Xenopus tropicalis: one gene and its partner. The protein of the gene in region 2 interacts with the protein of the main gene of each other region in a biochemical or structural test. Links are inferred from orthologs where the notes say so. Each region holds a gene or a part of one and is shown on either strand. Other genes may lie near its edges.

Region 1 (4,464 bases), about 65 Mb from region 2:
CCATCCAACATAATGAAGTAGGAAAGTTAAGTAGTATAAATATAGATTGGAAGTCCCAGTCCACAATCTTTGAAAGACATGGTGAGTTTTTGCCACACAATTCTAGGTATCCTTCCCCCCAATATAATGTGCAATACTAGTGATAGTGATATTATTGATCACATATTATAACTGAAGATATCGATAAGCACTGTTTAGAAACAGCTTATTCACAGGTCTTGTGTTTTATACACGTGTGAATTCACCAGTGCACATATGTAGATGAAGTAAGAGTGTATTATATACTGAAACATCACATTCTATTCCTTACATTTATATAAGGAACACCTTTTTTTATTACCTAGACCAGCATCCCCAGTCAGTGGCTCGTGAGCAACATGTTGCTCACCAATCTCCTGGATGTTGCTCCACAGCCCAGGTATTTTGGATAACTGGCCCACTATTGTTTGGCTAACAGCACTGACTCTGCACTAGTTATTGGTTTGCACTGCTGTACATGATTGTACATTGATGCCTACACTCCACATCTATCTATCTATCTATCTATCTATCTATCTATCTATCTCTCTATCTATCTATCATCTATCATTCTATCTATCTTTGTATCTATTTTATACATTTCATGCCTACACTCTACATGCTATCTATCTATCTATCTATCTATCTATCTATCTATCATCTATCATTCTATCTATCTTTGTATCTATTTTATACATTTCAGCCTACGCTCTATGTATGTATGTATCTATCTATCTATCTATCTATCATGAACAACTTTTAATTTGTTAAAAAACTATAAAACTAAAATATAAAAAATATGGTTAGTGATAAATTCAATAAAATGTAAATAAGTATAAATAAAAATGATGTTTACATATTTCCACCTAAATTAGTGCTTATGAAAATGTCAGAGATTTGACCGTATTTTTTATTTATTTATTTTTATATGTTTTTATATCATTTGTCTTTCAGTGAGAACTGCTGGCACCTAATAGTAAAGGACAGTAAAAGAGACAATTAGGTAATTGCATTACACAGCAAAAGTGTTGAAATATTGAAACCAATGGCTTTTATCTGCTTATACTTTTCATTTCTAATTTATGCCATGTACTCTTGCAGGGTATAGAGTAGAACAAAGCTGCATTTTCTTGCATATCTAAAATACTAGATCATTTATGACATCCAATCAAAACAACTCACACATACTATGTTTAAATACTGAATACAGCTCTACAAATCTATCTTTTACATGCAGGGCTTAATCAAGTGCATTAATACAGTGATTATTTTTTGTTCAAAAAAGGAGAAACCCCTTCCTTAAAAACTTAAGCACAGAGAGGAGTTTTTATGTTCCTATCGGGCAGACACTATCACAGATAGGTCAGCTGGATGTATCAACTTTGTTAGTGTGCTGTGTCTGTGAGCTCATACTACAGCTGTTTTTGATGACAGCTTCCAGTATGACAGCAGCCCTACCCTTGGCTTTTCAAAACAAAGGAGTCTTTAGCCAATCAATGAAAGGCAAAACAAAGAAGAAAACATTGCATCAGCATTTCTACCAATCTAATCAAGGAATGGAAGAGTGGGTCAATCAGAAAGCAGAATACAACATCTCTCGCCAGCACTGTTCTCTAAAGACATTAAACCATTAGGGCGTATCACTCTGCAACCTGTGGGCCTTTTTAGGAGAGAAGTTATATCTGGTTATTGAAAGGCTATGACCCGTTTATACATATTCTTCTCAGATTTAAAGCAATATTTCAAAATACCCTTAGATCTTATAAAGCTAACAGGAAGCTCTTTCAAGAACAGCACTTTTTGTTTTTTTAGATTAATGCGTTTGGAATCTTTCAAAGAGGAATTCATCATATAGTAAATCATGATCATTACGTAGCACTTCTGCCTTGCAGCGCTGGGGTCCTGAGTTCAATCCCAGTTAGGGCACTATCTGTAAGGAGTTTGTACCTGTATGTTCTCCCCATATCTGCGTGGGTTTCTTCTGGGTACTCCAGCTTCCTCCCACACTCCAAAAACATACAGGCAGGTTGACTGGCTTCTAACTAAATTAATAATAATATGTGTGTGAATGTGATTGGGACTTTAGATTGTAAATTCATCCGCAGGGACGGATGTGAATTTTGTATAATGTCTGTAAAGCACTGCAGAAATGAGTTGGCGCTACATAAATAACAGGAAATAAAAAAGTATATAAATAAATTACTTGCATCTAAGACCACTTACCCTTACAATATAGGAAACGCCAGGGCCTTGCAGTCGGTCGTCAGGGTGCAGCCAGCCTTGAGCTGGTTTGTTAATAAATGTCCCTTTACGGTTCCATTCCTCCCCTTGGACTTTATATGCTTCTGTCCGTGCAGATTTTCGCGCTCCCCCACTACCACCCCCTCGCAACCGGTTTATCACCTGCAGAGTACAAGGTGTGGAGCATACAGGGTCACAGGCTCCAAACACTGATCCTAATCCCCCTCCTGTCCCAGACTTGTCAACGGTCAGTTCCTTATTGCCTCCAGAGGGGGAACGACTCAGGAAGGCAGTGGGGCTGGAGAATTTCCATTGTCCCATCCTGGGTATCATCATACAGAAGGTGGTAGCCACATCCTGCTCCTCTGGGTACTGCGGCTCTGCAAAAGGCTGGCCTAAGGCAGATGCTCCTGTCGGAGAACTAGGGGCCACCTGTCCACTCATGGCCTCGGCTGACAGTGCTAGTTGCTCCTCTGCCGAAGTTATGGAGTCGTTGCGAAATCGGTCATACCTGGATTCAGCCAGCATGCCGTGTGCTGGGATCCATCCAGAGCTTTTAGAGTGATTGCTCTCCTCTCTAAATCTTTCCTTCTCTCTCACTTTCCCTCCTCCTTCTCTTCCCTTCTCCCTTGGGAGGATCCACTCTCACAAGATGATGTCATTCTCATATTACTCCTTCTCCCCCACCACACACAACATCCCAGCTCAGGTCAGCAGAACCTGCTGTGGTACCATCCCCCCAGCACTCTCCATAAGGGTCCACAGCGAGTGCTATTTTAATGGTGATGTTATAAAATGACCCAGAGTGCACTGATATCCAAAGTAAAACTAGGACTGCAATGTATGTCATTTTCCTTGTGTCTGATTCACATTACTCTGAAATATTCTGTACCACAGACACTTGTGGCAAAGGATGCTTATATAGCTTACTGTCCAATGAGCAAAACGATGTAAGTATTAGATGAACTTAGATGCACATTAACTCATGCCTGTGTATTCAAAAGAGTTACCTTTCACAGAAAGCTGCATATCTGGATTTTTTTTACATTTTGTTTTGTTTTGAAACTGATTCATTTAGAAATGATATACAAATATACCCTATTTTTATTTAGAAGTTATATACAACTATACCCTCTTTGTATGAAAGTTGTTAATACATTGTATATTTTTAAGTTTCATTTCTACTTTAACTTAAAGTTAAAGGGATACCGTCATGATTTTCATGGTATACTTTTTATTTCTAAATTACACTGTTTACATACCAAATAATTCACTCTACCATTTAAAATTTTATTCTTGAACCAAGAAATGTATTTTTTTTTACTTGTAATATTGGTGTGTAGGCAACCATCTCAGTTCATTGTGCCTGAGTCTGAGCTTTCAGAAAGAGCCAGTGCTACACATTAGAACTGCTTTCAGGTAACCTATTGTTTCTCCTACTCCCAAGTAACTGGAGGAGTCCAAAGCCAAACTTGGATTTTTTACTATTGAGTGCTATTCTGATATCTACTGGGAGCTGCTATCTTGCTACCATCCCATTGTTCTGCTGATCGGCTGCTGGGGGGGGGGGTGATATCACTCCAACTTGCAGCTCAGCAGTAAAGTGTGACTGAAGTTTATCAGAGCACAGGTCACATGGCTGTAGCACCCTGGGAAATAAAGAATATGGCTAGCCCCATGTGAAATCTCAAAATTAAATATAAAAAAATATGTTTGTGTTGTGAAAAAAGGATTTTTAATGCAGGATTCTGCTGGAGAAGCTCTATTAACTTATGCGTTTTGAAAAAAATATGTTTTCCCATGGCAGTATTCCATACCTTATTGTACTGGTATGGGATCTGTTATAAAGAAACTCATTATCCAGAAAGCTCTTAATTACTGGAAGGCCTTCTCCCATAGACTCCATTGTAATCATATAATTCAGTTTTTTAATTCTATAATAATAATAAAATAGTACCTTATACTTGATCCCACTGAGATGCAATCAATCCATATTTGAGGCTAAACAATCTTATTGGGTTTATTTAATATTTAAAATAACGTGCCAAATTGCAGAATCTGCAACAGGATCTGCAAACAAAACTCAGTGTGTGCCATAGCCATATCAGTGCAATCTGTTTATGACCACTCAGAGAACTATGCATTTAAAATATGCTATATGCTGTTTTTTTTGGTTTGGGAGCTACTGTTTGAAATTTCTATTTG
Region 2 (2,842 bases):
ACATTTATTGCCTATTGTTTTAATCACAAAAAATATATGGTATTTGTTTTCTTTATCTAAACAGGGCAAGGATCTGTGCACTTGTAATCAAATGATCTATCTTGCAAGGACCACACATGGATTAGCTTCAGCCCTGATAGCTTAAGATATAACAAAAAACTGATTTTTAGTATTAAAACATTAGGCAAAAAGTATGCTCAGCCCAAGCCCTATTCACTGCACTTATGTTGAAAAATGGGGTTTTACTGTCTCTTTAATAAACCAGTATTTTTACATTCTATACAGTCTACCAGAATGCCAATGGTAACAGAGTTTAAAAAAATGTCTCATAAAGATGAAAAATAGCAGGCCAGGCAGCAGTTTTGGGTGCAGTAATATAGAGGGATCCTGTAGGGATGCACCAAATGCAACATTTTAGGATCCCTGAATCCTTTGTGAGAGATTCAGCCAAATGCTGAACTGAATCCGAATGTGCAACTTCTGTGTTGATTTGAAAAAAGTCACGATTTTAAGGTTAAGATTGAGACCCAGGCAGCAATACCTGGAAGGGCAGTCTCATTACAGAGCACTCATTATATCATTCTACTCTAAATGCTGTTACCCTCAGTTTCGACCTCAACTACAACTGTGCCCCAACTCTACTCCTATGTATCAAGTGACAGCGCCTACGACTGTCATACTTGCCAGGGAAAAAAAACTCAAAGACTTAAAAACCAGACACTGTTTTTCTTGTAAAAATACTCAGTTTAATATTTGATTTAAATTCTTTCTATTATACAAGAACAAGTTTACACATTTAAAGGGATACTGACACTCTTATGAAATTTCTGCTGTGCCATTCTCTGGACCTAATGTCCTGACCTCCTTAACTGATAGGCTGCAGCCACTAAAGAGCACTAGAAGTGGGCACCTAACAGCTCTCCTCTATGGCAGGGCACAGCAGTACAGCTTCAGCTTGTTGGGCTTGGAAGTTCAGGCTGCCCTAGCCCTGGAAAAGAGAGCAATTTTGAAATTTGCCATCACTAATAGTATCAGGTCCTTTCAATGGAAGTGCAGTCATTTTAAAATATTGTCATTATCTCTTAAAACAAGAAAAGACATTTAGTGAGTGCTTTTTAAATTAGAAATGTCCAACATGCGTTCCTCAACTAATACCATGGCAAACAGGCTGGGGGAGGGATGCTCAGTAACTGCTGGGGACTGGCTCTCCCATCTAAATTACATCTTATAAGGCATAGCTTATCTAAGACACAGCGAGGTTTGAAAAATCTTTTCATCATCATACCGAAACTTTCATGAATTAAAATAAAATTCTATATGGCAGCTAATTGGTTCAGTTAGAAAACTTTATACAAAAAATATAAAATTAGAAGTTTATAAAACTGTTCATTATATATACACATATAAAACCTTTTACTAATATAAATAACTATATATTACATTTCTTTTCACTACAATGGACTATAAATATGTAAAATGGTGTTTGTGTCTCCTTTCATCTCTGCTGAATGAATGTATTAAAACTAAATCAGCCTCAGAATGTAAGGCATTTCTGTCACTGGATTGTTTTGCTAGCCTTGATACATAATGATGTAGGAACTACCTGGTAACCCTATGCTTTCTAGAAAAGTGAAACAAAATAATGTTAATACTGTTATAATGTCCTGTAATTAAATAACATATTCATTTTACAGCTTTGATATAATGACTGTTGATATAGCTTTGATATAATGGCAGGTTTATCATCTATTCTACATTATAATAAATATTCCCCAAAACACCAGATCATCATATAAAATGATGGAGTATATATGCTACATTTTAACAACAAATTAACCACTGTTCATCTGTTTCATTTCAGCCTAGGGACAATATTTCATTATTCTATGATACAAGTTGTGTAAAAGAAAGGAGTCAAATAATTAAGGCAAATGGTAAAAAATTGCTATTGCTCATGTGTTTGTATGTAGCACACAAGTTACACTTGTTATCATCACTCTCCAGTATCCAGGAACTATACCAATCCATAACTGGTATTCTAAAATGACTGGTAGTCAATACACTGTAAGTCTCTCTTACAAAACATGACCTAATATGAAGCCATGATAACACCATATAACATTATTGACTTTGATTTTCTTGTCTTCAAGACAGAACTGTAGTAGAAATAGTGCAGCAGCAACTCAGTTTTTCACAGCTCAAGATTTGATATTTCCAAGATTAGTTCAAGGGCATGACTTGCATTAAACACTGTACTGAAGGGGAATCAGGAGTCTTAATATTTTTATCAGTTACTCTTTCAGTCTCCCATAATGCAATAGCAGACATTTGGTGTCCATACAAGAATCATGGCTTCAGAAGATCCATACTCTGCCCTCAAAATTATATAAAAATATATTCTTTGTTTAAGGCATTGTCATTTGGAATCTATTCCTTATTGCTGGGTAGATCCAAAGAAGCATACATTTGTCCTTAATATCTTCTGGCCTCTTGCTGGAAGGAGTTGAAGAAATACAATATTAAGAGTAGTGCACAGGAAGACTAGTTTGTTTGTAGCTCCTAGGAAAGCTTCTTAAATTGAAAGGCACCAGCCTGCCTCCATGTTTAAACATCTGTGCTTAACTGGAGAACCGTTTCATGTCGAATGATGTCCGTATGGCAAGTGTCTGATGAAGAATTTCTCTGGAGTAGTTGTGTCTTTTCATTAGAATCTGTAGCTGCCTCCGTGTCATCAGAATGGTACCCCGACTGGCAATCACTAGTTTGGTTCGAAGACTCTGATGTTACGGATTCCTTGCTTTTACTCTGCTTCAAAATGCTAAAAAATATAATTGCGAGAAAT

The links.
Region 1: the proteins of kdr (region 2) and shc2 form a complex in vitro, tested with the Homo sapiens proteins (2 studies listed by BioGRID). The link is inferred for Xenopus tropicalis from reciprocal best matches to the Homo sapiens genes KDR and SHC2.

What each region holds. Positions count from the first base shown.
Region 1 is NC_030677.2:105,548,515-105,552,978, forward strand, and holds the start of shc2 (SHC-transforming protein 2), read right to left. Parts: upstream 2,851-4,464; 5' UTR 2,788-2,850; coding exon 2,242-2,787; intron 1-2,241. UniProt on the Homo sapiens protein: Signaling adapter that couples activated growth factor receptors to signaling pathway in neurons. Involved in the signal transduction pathways of neurotrophin-activated Trk receptors in cortical neurons.
Region 2 is NC_030677.2:40,279,652-40,282,493, forward strand, and holds the end of kdr (vascular endothelial growth factor receptor 2), read right to left. Parts: intron 2,819-2,842; coding exon 2,605-2,818; 3' UTR 724-2,604; downstream 1-723. UniProt on the Homo sapiens protein: Tyrosine-protein kinase that acts as a cell-surface receptor for VEGFA, VEGFC and VEGFD. Plays an essential role in the regulation of angiogenesis, vascular development, vascular permeability, and embryonic hematopoiesis.